Linked DNA regions of Drosophila melanogaster. The protein of the gene in region 1 interacts with the protein of each later gene in a biochemical or structural test. Each region holds a gene or a part of one and is shown in the gene's direction. Other genes may lie near its edges.

Region 1 (5,050 bases):
TTTGGGTTCCTCGCGTATCTGCAGCATTTTCTGCACATGGCTGGTGGCTAAGTCAAGAATCTGCTTGGGGCTTGGACGATCACCGAACCACTGGTCGAACCAATGGCCACCCATCATCACGGTAAGCACAGTGTTCTCGCCCATGTCGAAGCAGCAGCTGTCGAAGATGACGCCGAGCAGAGGTAACTTTTCCACTGGCGGCACTAGCAATCCAAAGCCGTCTTGTTTGAGTAGCTTGCCGGGGAACTGCATGTTCACTACCAGCACATCCACGTACGGAATGCTCAAAAGTTGGGCGCTCAGCGAGGGATGCTGCTGCTTTACCAGGGGCGCGAGTTTGTAGGCGGGCAGGGAGCTGACCACATGCTCCACCGGAACTTCGGCATCCTTGATGTTCATTCGAACCCCGGAGCTGCTGAAGGTCAGGTTCCGGCATTCGTTGCTTAGCTGCACGTTCACATCCCGCTCACCTAAGTACTTTCGCATAGTTTTGGGTAGGTTCTCCAGACCGCCTTTCAGCCCGTACATGGCCCACTTCTCCTTTACCGCCTGCGCATACAGCTTGGGCTGTCTTTCGGCAAATAGTCCATCCTTGGTGTCCTTGGTCTTGTTCTTCTCAAAGCGGGAAATGAGTGTGCCCTTGAGCACTCCTCCGTACTTCTGTTCCTTTTCAAAGAGCCCCTCCATCAGGAAGCGCACACTTATTTCTCGCGCGTCACCGGCGCAAATACCGCAGATCATGGGACTGATGGCGTAGTCGGCTATCTCCTTACCAAACCGCCGCTCAGCGAAACTGTAGATGCTCTCATCCTCCAGCTTCGCTTTCTTGCTTGCTGTGAACAGATCGCGAAGAACCGCTTTGTATAGCGGCTTCGTGAAGGGAGGCAGGACGCCGAAGAGACCCTTGGGACTGTTGGGCAGCATGCAGAGCTGTCCCTTGGCATACAGCATTCGGTTGCGTGCTGCGACATGACTGCGTCGAATGGGAGTCACCTCCAGCTTCAGATCCTCCACCAATTCTAGCGTATTGGCACCTGGCTCACCAACTGGGCGTATGGTTCGCGGTCCGCTCTCGAAGATGAAGTTGCGATCCTTGCGATTCTCCGACCGCACCCATCCGCCCACACGGGGCGAGGCCTCGTAGATGGTCAGCGGCTTCCCGAATCGCCGCAACAGGTAGTATCCGGCGGATAGTCCACTCAATCCGCCTCCCAGCACGGCCGTCGTCATGGTCCTTCTGCTGCTTCTCGTTGCTCCCGAATCCCTTAGAGGATTCAGACTAGTTCTGGTTTGCAGACGAAAAAATCTATGCCGGCTTCGATCGTTCAGACCAAAATAAACCCAGGTGACATAACTATCGTTGAAGCTATCGATAAGCTCAAATCCAAAATCGCTGAGCTTGCAATCGATGTTATATGCGATTGAAGAGTTTTGAATTGACAATTCTGCAGAAAATAAAATCAAATAAAGGAAGGGATAAATATTTTATAAAATAAATAGCATTTATTGTTATACTTATTTTGGTAACTACAGCTAACATAATATCTTATAATCGAAACAATGGTTTTAGAATATTTATTGTTAAATTATGTAAAGTTAAATAAAATATAGTGCAATTGATAATACTTAATTTAAGCATTGATACAAGAATACAAATGCATAGTACTTTTATTTGCCATTATTTTATCTCATTTAACATGCATTTGTGCACCCGTCCCAAAAGTATGCAATGAATTTCTTCCGACATTCCTCATACGCCACGTGTGCATCGTGCGGAAGTTCACTTGCACCTGCATCGGCACCATTACCATCATCATCACCATCACCGCGGCACTGGGTCATTCATAGTGAATGGGTTTTGGCGCCAGTTTTGATGAATCGAACGAAGCGTCCAGCCCGCACCAACCGCAGGACTCCGAAAAGCTCCCAAAGACGAGCTTGGGCCGTGCGGAAGTACATTGGGCCACCGATTTCCATGTCGTCGGAGTCGACATCGCGCAGAATTGTATACGCTGCTGACGAGAAAGGTTGGTCCTCGCGTTTGAGCGCGTCGCGTCTTTTATTCTGGGTGTGTGAGTGAGTGGACTGTGTGGAAAAGTGCCTATCGCGTATATGTATATTCACGGGACCCATACACACACACACAGCTGCAGCACTTGGAAATGTGAAAAATTTTCAAGCTGCGTTTGCCAATTACGGGGAAAATTGAGCAAAAAACGTCTTAAAATCCGGGCAATTATCGTGGCCATTTGCGGAACGGCAATTGTGCAAAATTCGGTATCCGTTGAAAACGGGCTCAGTGAACGTGAAAATGTGCCACACACACACTTACAACGCAGGAAATTCAATTAATTAGTGACCGAGTGTGTGTGTGTGTGTTCGCCCATAAAACGGCGATTGTGATTGCGAAAAAAGTGTTGCATACATAAAGGAGCTAAGAAGTGGACCAACGAGCAACACTAAAGGAAAACTCTTTAGAAATACAGTTTTTCGCTTTTTTTTTTGGCACTGCTGCAGGTTTTCATTTAAAAGATACATTTGTTGAAGTCAACACACACGGACACACACACATGCGCATACGGCACAGTTTTTCGTTCGTTTTTAAAACGAGCACACCACAAGTTCCCCAAAACGAAAGGACGAAGGGACCCGACCCGATGATAAAGTCGATGTTCCAGGCCGGAGATACACTTGTATCGTTCCCCTGCCTTTGCCGCTGCTGTCATCGTCAATGTTATTTTTGTTGCTTCCTACTCGTCGTCCTTCGTGTGTCGCAGGATACCTTGGTATATGTGTGTCAGTCAGTCACTGGCCGAGCGTGGGTGTGTGTGTGCGTGCGCCAGGATACGCAGATACCCAGATACCTACAAATGAAGCCACCAAATCCAGGCGAGTTCAATGCGCGGCCAGGACGAAGGACTAAGCTCTGTTTACATTGGCTCACGAATGCCCATTTTCCAAGCCCCCTGTATTTTCCGCCCGTTGGCGTGCCGTGGGAAATTGTGTCGCCTGCTTATTTATTATGAAAATGCAACTTTCATTTGACTCGGCATTTGTCCCGTTTCCATTGTTTGCAGGCACATTAGGCAGCTCGTTAAGCGCATGAAAGTGTGTGTCCTGCGGGTGTGCGAGTGTGTGTGTGTGACACGAAGGGGAACTAAAAACTAGGGCAGTGTGTTTCCGTTTCAACGACATGCCGCAGGCGAAAGAACGAGTCCGTCCGCAGGACAGCAAAGCCTCGCTAATCGGGCAGGAAATGAATAACTTAAAAAGTTACCAATGACAAGTTTGACATTAAATGTATCATATACAAATAACATGCAAACGAAAGTGATAATTGTAAAGCATGTTGTATATTGCCAAAAATTCTAGTTTTTGGTACCACATTGCGTATGCTTAACCAAAATGTGCGACTTTCGCAGGCAAGGAAAAAGCTTTCTGCCCGACAATTTTCGGATTCCCTGCATCGCGCAGCCGCCAATACGCCAGCAGCAATTGTGAGAAATTGAGAGAAATTCTCAGAGAATTCTCCGAGAACTGAGAATTTAAAAACGGCGAGAATAGTGCTGATTTTGCTTTCAAGTCTGCTTCGCATCTTTATTTATTTATTTACTTGACACGCTTGCTTTTCCGGCTACGGAAAATGGTGATACAATGTCTAAAATAATATTAATTTAATAGAATATATATACGAATACAAATATATACGTAATATCATTGACAAATGTCTGCGGTCGTAAAAAAATTAAAAACGCAAATAACGCTGACAGCCTAACTAAAAAATATAATTAATTACCGCGTTCGTCGCGCTGCCTTGGCAAATTAAAAAGTATTTAAATTATCGCTCAACTTAATAAATCTCTTGCAGCTTAACACACAAGGAAAAATTTCGTGGGCAAACAAAGCTAAATAAGTTGTGAAAGGAAACATGAGCAGTGTGACTAAGCGCAGTTTCTAATTTAACCAAATTCCAATTCAAATTCAAAAGAACGAACAACTATTGATCAAGACGGCAAAGAAAGAAGCAAACAAACCAAAACGCACAATGAAACTGATAAGCTTAACGCAGCTGATAACACAATGAAACTCATCCACGGATCCGAAATGCAATTATGAAATAATCAGCAAGCCGCAATCCATCAGCCAGTGAGGAAAATCCAGCCAGCCAGCCCAAGAATTTCCACGTGCAACATTGGCGAGCCGCAGCGACCACAAATCGTCCAAACACATTGATGTGCGATTTGAGCGTGTGAATGTTGGCAGCCCTGGAGCCCTGCCTCGGTGGTTTAGCCAGTACTAGGTGAGTACTCCCAGTCCTTCATCCATTCGCCCAAAAAACACTGTTCCAAATCCCAATTCGATTGCACCACCACCACAACATCCATACACTGTGCCGCATAGAAACCCGAATATGAGAACGGATAGCGAGGGGAAAGCCGTAGCAGCCGCAAGATCCACTTCGAAATCCAGAAAGACCATCAACACCACATCAGCAAGCGGTCCGCCCGGACCGAAACCGGAACGAACATGGCCAGCTGGTGCCCCAATTGCCACGAACTGCCACCGTTCTATCCGCCCATCACGCCAAAGGTAAAGCCCTTGATGTCGTACGTGATAAATCCACAGATACATATTCGTACGCCTCGCTTGTGAAAGACCATCTGAAATTGTAGAAGTCACGTTAGCGGCTCTGCAATGATCTGTATACGGACTACTGGGATTAACCTATCTCTCCAGCTCGTCAATCAATCAATCATCAATCAATCAGTCATTTTTCCAGCGATAGTTCGCAGTGCTAGACGCTGCTACTCTTATCACATTTTGCTCTACTTCGAACATATAAAAGGCAGTGATCTTTAATCCAATAGCTTATCACTTTGTTTTGAATCCAAAGGAGCGAGCTCATTATATTATATATATCATTAAAATGTAAGCCTTATTTCTGTTAATTAAGTGTACAACTTGGTGTAAAACGATAATGTAATCGAGAGATATTTGTAAAATTTGTTGTAAATATATATAATGTACATAATCTTATCAGTACTTAGTA
Region 2 (4,788 bases), on another chromosome or scaffold:
AGCAAAGAAAGAGCCCAAGGTGGCTTTGCACTGAGAATAAAATGATTTGCAGTGTATTCTTAGCATATGTATAAAAATTTATCAAGATAAATAAAATGGATGTTAAATTACTACATTTTAGTAAATTTACTTTTCTTTTTAATACTCCTAAGGGAGCAACTATACAATTTTGTCATAAAATGTTCGAAGCAGTCTAAAATTAATATAAATATTGTAGTTAAATTTTTCTCTCTGTATGGAAAAATTAAAAAAGGGCCGAAGATCGGCGGATAAAAGCAAAGAAAGAGCCCAAGGTGGCTTTGCACTGAGAATAAAATGATTTGCAGTGTATTCTTAGCATATGTATAAAAATTTATCAAGATAAATAAAATGGATGTTAAATTACTACATTTTAGTAAATTTACTTTTCTTTTTAATACTCCTAAGGGAGCAACTATACAATTTTGTCATAAAATGTTCGAAGCAGTCTAAAATTAATATAAATATTGTAGTTACATTTTTCTCTCTGTATGGAAAAATTAAAAAAGGGCCGAAGATGACAGCAAAGACTTTTCACTTTCCTCTGACGTTTCGCGGATCGCTGGTGGCGCATAAAAATTCAATTAAAGACGGCGGCGGCTGGCCAAAGGACGTGAACACAAGGCGAGTGTGCCGTCATAAATTCCATGCCGATAACGCGGCGTATGCGCAATGTCGAGCAATTTGTTCTGAGTTGCCAGTTGCGAGGTGAACCCCAAGCAATCATCGTCAGGCGAGCAATTTACAATGTTTGCCGTGTTCCTCAGATAGCAGCATCGCATCCACCGCTGCATTCGCTCGCTGACACTGATAATTCAGTTGGCGATGTAACACCTCCACCACCCACCACTGCCCCCAAGACAATCAACCACCCAGCCACCCACTCTCGAACAAATTGTTGACCTATATTTGGGCATCAATGAAACGCGAGCAGATGTGGCGAACAGTTGGCGAAGGGGGAAACAACAACTGCACCGCGTTTTCAATGCTGTTGAGTAAGTTGAGTAAAAGCTTCTGGTAGCCGCTTTGCTGGAGAAAAGCTGTGTAGCAATCACTCTTTCCTCATCGGTGCTTTGTCAAAGCTTTGCGACTGGAATGAAAAGCTCCCACACTCTCCCAAACAAATTAGTTACTTTTTCCAAAGATAAGGATATTCGCGGCTATAAATTTGTTAACAACGATTTTCACATGCGTGAGTTGTTTCAATTAAAGCAAAATTAATAAAGAAAAGTTAAAACGGAAAAAGAGTTAAGCCCTAAAATGTTGTTCTTTAATATAAGACAGAAACTGAATTATTCTGTTTTTGCCTGCTTTAATAAGTCCTATTGAATTTCTACATCACTTACCATATCATTTTTAAATTTCAATGAAATATTAAAAACTACAACATACATATACGGGTAATAAGAATGGGCCACTTAAACAGCTGACTTCCATGAAACCGTTATCCAGAAGATACTATCAGATACTGGCGACCGTCGAAGCTCCTGCTCCTGGAAGGGGTAATCAGCTGGACAAATCCAGAGAGAGCGAGAACGGAACAAGTGACAGTGGAACAGGCAAATCAACCGAAAAGGGAAAAGGGTGTCAATGGAAGACCACAAATGGAACTTTTTGGACACTTTCTCTCTGTCTCTCGGTTTTCCACTCTCTTTTAGGAGGAAATAAAGGCGGCAAGCGGCTGGCAGCTTTTCAATCCAGTTCGAGTCAGCCAGCGGAGTGGACGTCTCTATTTCTCAGTGTAATTCCCAACCGATTCTCTGCCGCGTCGCGAATAAAACGGTAGTTTTAAATTAAAATTTTAACAAATTTACACTTAATTTAGAAAACTAAGTCAGATTATTGAATACACAAAATTTGATGATGTATATTGACTATTCGCACACGACCGTCATTGCGAATGCCATCAATTATTTAAGGCATTTATTTTGATTCAGTTTCCTTGTGCTTTTGTTTGCTGGTTGTCCCACAAAAACAGAAATTGTTTGCCCTCCAGGAGCAACAAAAACAACTGTGAGCGGAGAGTGCAGAGAGCCGATGGACACCGAAAAATCCGAATAGGAAACATACCGAAGTCCAAAAGCACCGAGCACCAAACACACGGAAATTCAGTCGCGTAAGGGCATCGCATCAGTCCACACCGCATCGGATCTTCGAGATACATTCGCATCTGTAAGATACAACCGCATTTTTGGGATACTCTCGCGAGTGAAAATTTTTTCGGCAATAAGTCAATTAAAAACCCGAATCTCAAACCATCAATAAATCAGATAATCAAATACCGGAAAATAGGCAAGCAGGAAAGAGGAACTCTAAATCAAGCTCAAAGCTCTTCTCACCTTTTCCTGGTTACAGGTGAGTTCAGTGGCTGACACTTGGGGGAGGTGGTGGCCTTTTATGACCTATTTGAAATCTGAAGGGCTGTAAATGCAATTATTCGCCAGCCACAATGCGTATCTATGCGTTTGTTAAAGTAATTTAGAAGTAATTGAGAATTCTGTGGAATCTAATACATTTTGACTTAATGAGATAATGGGTAACTGGATGCCGAATTGGCTAACTGGAATTCTATATCCGTATAAAGACCGGTTTCCAGCATAAAGCAGGATTCATTAACCCCTTAGAAGGTCAAATACTTTTTCTTAAAACTCTCCACAACTTTATTTCAATTCCGAATGCAATTTGCTAGCGAGTCTGTGCGTTTCTCGTTTTGTACAGCTGCATGGACGTCATGGGGGGATTATGGAAGCATATTACGCATACGCCCCATCCGCCAAAAGCAAGTGCAATTGGAGATGATGATTGTCAACGTTCAATGGAGCATCCATTGCCATTTCTTTTTCCAGTTCCCCATGCGGTAATTGCAGCGCCAACTGCACGAACTATTCCTAATGAGACAGTTAAATCGCAATCGTAAAGCTAGAGTCCCGTACTCATTTATCCATCTGCGTCTACCCCTTCTCAGATTTTGGTGAAGAGAACCCTTGAGGAACGCGCTCGGTTTCCTTTGAATGCCGCTGCGTTTCTTTCTCAATCTCAATTGGAATGCATTGTGCCCAAGGACATCTGCAGAAGCAAAGGAGCAGAAAAATGGTCTTCTAGGTGGTTCGAAGGGAGGCCTTTTGCTTTAGCGGTACATTACTCAGTTTACTGCCGGATTATAGCCTTAAGCCGTTCGGAAGTTTCTCAAGGGGTTGGGATACTAAACGAGCAGACAGCTAATGTCCGTCCCTCCACATTTTACGAGAGAAAAAGCGGAGACAGAGCAGTAGGATTTCCCAAAATAGACAATTTTCTTTTTTTTTTTTTGACTCTCTCTCACTGGAGAGTAGGGAACCCAAACGGAATCAGTGAAAGTGGCATCGACAAATTCGATTTGGTTACTGCCTGGTAATAGACCCTAGGAATATTTATTGGAATGCAATAACCACTTTTTCTGGATATTTTAAAATGTTGGGATAAAAATAGCTAATTATATCCAATCCATAAAAAAAAAATCAAAAGTTAATGAATATTACTTTCAACATAAAGATACCCAAGTGAAAAGATTTCTTTCTTCTCTGGCAATTGTTGTCCCGTGTTAATCTAATAGAAAACGATTTGTTTTGTTGACATTTTTCTTTTAACGTTTCCCCAATTTTATTGTGTTTGTGCAAACATTTTTATTTGATTCCGACTTTTGCTTCTTCTTGTCTCCGTTTTTCCATTTTCAGTGATTTGATTTTCATGTTAACTTAGATCACTCGACTGAATCGATTTTCCTGCGGGCGGAGATAACATTTAAGTGCGCCCAAGTGTCGCCTACAATATTTCCGAAATTTATGCTAATTATGCAAACGCCTCTGTACAAACAGCAAACGCTGCGTATGCGTAATACTTTTGGCCATATTTTGCTTTGTTTTGACAAAGACAACAAAGGTCATGGGATGTGAGGGTACCAGGCGTCGAGATTTCTTGGCGGTGATTCTAAAAATAGACAATTGAGTGAATCATGGATTCACTAAAGAAAAAAGTATTTTGTTAGGACTCACATGAGTTGCTGGATAAAGTCTTGATTCGAAAGGGCTTGATTTGACAGGGCAGTCATTACTCAGGACAGACAATAAACCATCTAAACCCCTCTCTTCGTTGAACACCCTCTGAATTTCTAGAGAACGTTTTCGTATCGACGAAATCTTATATATCTTCGCTGATTTATGCGTTCTATTCCAGCGAAAATGTTTATTCTGAGCCCTTTTTTGGAGTGCCAGAGAATTAGTTCATCCTGCCATGTTGGCCACGCCCCATCGCTCACCCCGCCCCTTTGACCAGGATTTGTTTTGTGTGTTGCTTTCAATTTGTTTGTTTATTTCACTTTTCGAAAAAGGTCAAAGTTAGCCACATTTTGTTTCGCATTCGCTTTGGGCCTTCACCCATATGTGTTTGTGTGGCTCAGAGGGGCGTTTTGGGTGGGCGTGGCTTTTGAAATTTCGTTTATGTGCTTTTCTGACATTCATTAAAAGTCCAGCGAGCGACGAAAACTTTGAAGAGATTATCGACTAGGGCAGTCATAATATTTATGGGCTCGCGGGAAAGGTCAGGGATTGACCTTTACCTACCCCAAAAAAGTACTTTCATTGTTGTCCCAATTTAACAAACGACACTAACACTTGATCTGCGATAAGAAAATTGAAATCAAAGGCAACCCCACAAAGGAAAACCTGGGGGAAATATTCTGGTAGACGGGGTTTGACATTTTACAAATGCCAGCAATAAAATTAACTTAAATAA
Region 3 (4,766 bases), on another chromosome or scaffold:
TTGGAGCGCATCTCAAAGCTGGAGGATCGCGTGAAGGTACTTAAGGGCGAGAACGTCGACCTGGCTAGCATCGTGAAGAACCTCAAGGACCATGTGGCGCAGCTGAAGCAGCAGGTGATGGAGCACATTGCCGCGGGCTGCACGGTGCCGCCGAACTCGACAGACCAATAACATTTGGAGTTGTCAGCCGGGGAGAATGATGAGGAGGACGTGGCACTGGAGACTGAAACCCCCTCGAATCCTGAAGATCCCGAGCAACCCATGCCTCTGGAATTCTTTTCAAGTGCTAGCACCGGTGCCTTGGAGCTGGAGGGCTCGGCCTCTCAGGATATTTCCCTAACTAACAGCGAACTCCTGGAGGAGGAGAGCGATAACGAACAGCCTCTGGTGCTCTACATCCTCGCGGACGACGCAACCTGAGGCTTTGTGCCTTTCTTTGGTTTTAGCTGCAATATCTGAAATGCTTCTTAAGTGTTTTGTTTACTTAGTTATTAGTATAAGCTAGTGTTAATCAAGTATTATCTGTGTTGAACGTAAGATAATATGTAATGTACTTTTAAAATATACGTATATTTTCTGCACTTGATATATACATAAAAAAATTATTTCTACGCCTTAAACTTATTTATTCATCATCCTCCTCTTCGTCATCATCGTCGTCGTTGTCATCCATGGCCTCGGCCTCGGCCTCCTCTTCCATTGCGCTATCAGCCTGTTCCTCGTCGTTCACATCATCCTCGACATGCAGCTGGAAGCCTTCGCTTTTTGTCCACGAGCACTTCATGGTCAGCCGAAATTTGGCCATGGGCTTGCCCACCAGCTTGAGGATTCTCGCCTGTTCGGGTGTTAGAACTTTGCCCTCCTCACAAACCGTGTAGTCACTGTACAGCGTAACGATTCCCTTCTCCAATTTGGTGGGCAGGCCCAGGGAACGCAGATGCGGTTCCATAGAGTGGGCGAAGTCCTCTAGGGGACCTGCTGGCAGGGTAACCGTTTCCGTGGCCACAAAGCCACTGCGTGCGTATTCCACGGCCCAGTAGTTTTCTGCCCACTCCAGGACTTCCTCCTTGGATTTGTCCGTGAAAAGCAGTCCCACCTGGCCAGTTAATCGCTTGGATAGCTAATAGACATAGCCTGTGATTAGTGTCTGATATATGTTAATCCACTTAAACTTAATTACCTTGTGCAATTCCGGCTCCACTTCCTCGCTCTTCGTGCGACCCAAGCCAATCTGCATAACACGATTCTTGCCAAAGATAAAACGAGAATTCTTTTTCAACTCCTGTCGCAGATCCTTCAGCAAGCTATTCCTCATGTTCTGAACTTGGAAAACGAATATATTTGGGTATTTGCCCACGCAGAACCGAATGTCGTCCACAATGCGCTGTTTCCAAGCCAGACCCTTGCGGTCGGTTTTGGTCAGGGAAACTAAGGGAAGAAGAGTATCGCACGTTATAAGTACAAATCGTATATATTAAAGCCGAAACTCTCACCTTTCTTATCACGTTTGGAGCGCGGCATATCTGTAGCCTTTAAATAGCAACGTTTTCTTAACAGAAACCAAGAATATTTCCCACCGAACGTAAACACGTGCGGCCTTCTAGAGATGGTAAATGTTCCTAACCAACAATCGATAGCTCTATCGTGTATCGGAATTTCGCACCGTGCGGGTTGGAAAATTCCTGCGGGCCAATCCCTACTTCAGCTTTCCTCGTTTTCCAACACATCTGCGCGTAGAGAAGAAGAAGAACCTTCACGTCCGAGCCGTAAGAGGTGAATTAACTAATTAATAAGTGCTTGCTCGTTTAAAACTAAGTTAAAAGTCGTGTGCTGAGAGCCCAAGGATTACGCATATATTCGATATTCGCTTGAAAACCCAGGCGCAGTAAGTAGTTTCACCTAGTGCGTCGTGTGTCGGCTTGCGACCGCCATATTGTCGGCGGATAAAATTTTCCCCGAATAAGTGCGCCCACGCACTTTATCGATTCCGTTGGCCTCCTAATTGGATGCCACCTGCCCCTTGGGCTCTCCGCATTTGATTGCGTGCGGTACTGGCCTTGCGAAAATCCCATTACAATTGGAAATGGACGTAGCAATTTTTCATTACCGCAACCAAATAGGACGCCGATGACGTAATTTTTTCCGTCTTGTTCTTTGTGAGCTGTAGTAAAATGTAGAGATGAGCGCGTGAGCATGTCTTCGCCACGCACGAGTTGAATTGCAATACACTTACACGATTATTTAGAAAATTCCTCGTACACCTAATTACCGTTTTTTTTTTTTAATGACTTGAACATTATGCTTAATGTAATACAAAAACATCATAGAATATTAAATATATTTTCTTATTGTATAATTAACAATAGAAGAAGACTCAAAAGAATATACTCTAATTTTGTCGAATTATCCCATATTGACAGGACTAAGTATAATTAGAACTAGAAATTGATTGTTAAATCCTCGCCTTAACTTCCGGCCCACAATCGTAGGCCCTGCCTCACCTCACGAAAATCATAAGTACGTGGATATCTCGTTTTTATGTGTGAGTGCACCAATTCAATGAAATCCAAATTAGAATTAAGGCAATTTACCGCCACCCCCTTATCAATGGCATACATCTCCCGATTAGTTTCCTCCTTGCGGAGGCCATAAAGTCAAGATAAAAGCGTAATCTGGCAGCGAGATAAGCGCTCGAAAGTTTCAACAGGTTGGAAACGAACTATAAACTATTACTTCATAAAACGATGATAACACAAAGACTTGACAATAAAAGCTGGCTCATTTTAAAGCTCTCTATCTACAAGTTCTGAGACGCCTATTAATTAGTATATTTTATCTGAAAGTTTGGTTTCCAAGTTTTACCTGCACACCTGGCAACATTAATTTATACAGCAGGTTGGCAACCCTGAAACTCTCTCACTTGTCGCACTTTCTCGCTCTCGCCTGAGCCAGCCCCATATGCTCCCTCTCATTCTGCGGCGGCGCATGTGCCCCTGCTAGAGTGTGCGTGGGGAGAGAGCGCAGAAACACAGATACAGCGGCGCGGCGAATGTGTGCAACCTTTGCCGTCCGTCATTCTCATTCGTTCGTTGGTAGTGTTCGTTGTCGTTTCAGTTTCAGTTAATCGAGAATGTAAGTAACATTTTTGCTGGCCCAGAGTGCCTTGTACCTATGTGTGTGCGCCTGCCAGTGTGTGTATGGAATTATAAAACGTAAAATTGCTAAAATATCCGAAGAAAAAACACGTGTAATGCCGCCTATGAGCAATCACTTACATGCATCTATACTTCGTCCCGCAGAAAAATCGAAATACATAAATCAGACATCGATCCGAAGCCAAAAAAAAAAAATCTACGCAAAAGAATAAAGTGTAAATTTGTGCAAAATAAGGAAAAGAAAAGAAAATGAAAGAAAAGAACATTCCCGAGTTGCCCGAGTATTGGTGCATGTATGTGATGCGGTGAGATTCGCTTGTAGCTTCGTATTTCTCATCATCATCAGCAGTTCATCGGTTAAGTTGTAGGCGGCGGACATAGCCGACTTCTATATTTACGCTTATATAGCCAGCTATATGTACACACAGTACGCCAAGATAGATATATATATATATATATCCAAGTTGATACTTGGATGGGGACACGCGGTTAGGTGGGTTTCCTCGCCAAACTCAACACACTTGGCGGCCGCCTGTGGTAGATACATTTCGGCCTCTCTCTGCGGCGTTCTCCGCTCTCTCCCTCCCTCCCACCTCGCTCCTCCTTTCTCCCGATTATTTTTATAATTTTGTAGCGCCGCACTTGGAAACACGATTGGCGGCCCCACCAACACCATCTCACCCATCCGCACCACCATTACCACCACCACCCAGAACGCACCGACACACGCAGAGTCGCACGCACACAGCCCCAATAAAAGTTAGTAACTTTTTCGCCCCATGTAGAGCCGCAGTAGCGGTATCTACAGTGTAGAGGAATTTCTACATCATCGGGGATTGGGTTCTTGCTCGGCTCGGTCTCGGGGGGTTTGGGGGGGGGGGGGGGGTTCTTGAGCTACTGCGCATGCTGTCGGCCGGCGCAGATAAGGTTTAAAGTACCAAGTATCCATCCGACACGGATTTCGCAGGATTTTCTAGCCCCGAAATTAGCCTGACCATATGGGTGTTAAACCGTCCTCTAAGGTCTACGTATCTATAACTTCGAGATACCCACCTCCCACCTGTTTTTCCCCCTATTTACCAATTTATTCATTCAGGCAGATGAGCAATCTGCGTGGTTGAAACAAGTTTTTCCTCCTTTGATTTATCCGATAAAAACTACAAACATATTTGTGACCATTTAGGGGAGTGTTACGTTAATTTACGTTACGCCTGGCTTAATGTTTTGGCATTTACCGAGCACAGGCAGAAAACATGCCAATTGACCTAAAAACGCGTCGGGAGACCGCACCGCACCCTCCCCCTTCCATATTTTTGCTACGCCACGCCCCGCCGCCCTTTTTGTTTTGACAAAGGGTCAATGCTTTTTCAATTTGGCGGTCGGTCGCAACACAAATAATAGCTGTTTTCATATGGTTTAAACTTCAATTGGTTGGTTTTTAGGCAACTGCGCAGAAATCAGCATTTATAATTGCTTCTGCCAATGTTACTGGGTCTTTGAAACTAGTTGTTAGCTTCAGTAAAGAACATTTGTATGGGGTTTCAAACATTTTGGAGACTATTTTTCACCTAACCATTTCAATGTAGCAACTATTCAGCGGTCGCTGCTAGC

What was found. Proteins that work in one complex are often made in the same cells at the same time.
Region 2: the proteins of slo (region 1) and Slob form a complex in vitro, tested with the Drosophila melanogaster proteins (one study listed by BioGRID).
Region 3: the proteins of slo (region 1) and 14-3-3zeta form a complex in vitro, tested with the Drosophila melanogaster proteins (one study listed by BioGRID).

What each region holds. Positions count from the first base shown.
Region 1 is NT_033777.3:24,660,496-24,665,545, forward strand, and holds the start of slo (slowpoke), read left to right. Parts: upstream 1-1,995; 5' UTR 1,996-2,068; intron 2,069-3,868; 5' UTR 3,869-4,300; intron 4,301-4,401; 5' UTR 4,402-4,590; exon of another isoform or gene 4,591-4,929; intron 4,930-5,050. Other genes in the region: Ppox (protoporphyrinogen oxidase), read right to left, coding at 1-1,230. UniProt on the Drosophila melanogaster protein: Potassium channel activated by both membrane depolarization or increase in cytosolic Ca(2+) that mediates export of K(+). Its activation dampens the excitatory events that elevate the cytosolic Ca(2+) concentration and/or depolarize the cell membrane.
Region 2 is NT_033779.5:7,672,024-7,676,811, reverse strand, and holds the start of Slob (slowpoke binding protein), read left to right. Parts: upstream 1-1,733; 5' UTR 1,734-2,373; intron 2,374-4,788. UniProt on the Drosophila melanogaster protein: Regulator of calcium-activated channel Slo. Increases or decreases the voltage sensitivity of Slo, depending on the absence or presence of 14-3-3-zeta in the complex, respectively.
Region 3 is NT_033778.4:10,097,966-10,102,731, forward strand, and holds the start of 14-3-3zeta (14-3-3zeta), read left to right. Parts: upstream 1-1,711; 5' UTR 1,712-1,773; exon of another isoform or gene 1,774-1,885; intron 1,886-3,070; exon of another isoform or gene 3,071-3,212; intron 3,213-4,766. Other genes in the region: Jra (Jun-related antigen), read left to right, coding at 1-171; RpLP0-like (ribosomal protein LP0-like), read right to left, coding at 626-1,120, 1,181-1,428, 1,494-1,521. UniProt on the Drosophila melanogaster protein: Required in Raf-dependent cell proliferation and photoreceptor differentiation during eye development. Acts upstream of Raf and downstream of Ras, and is essential for viability.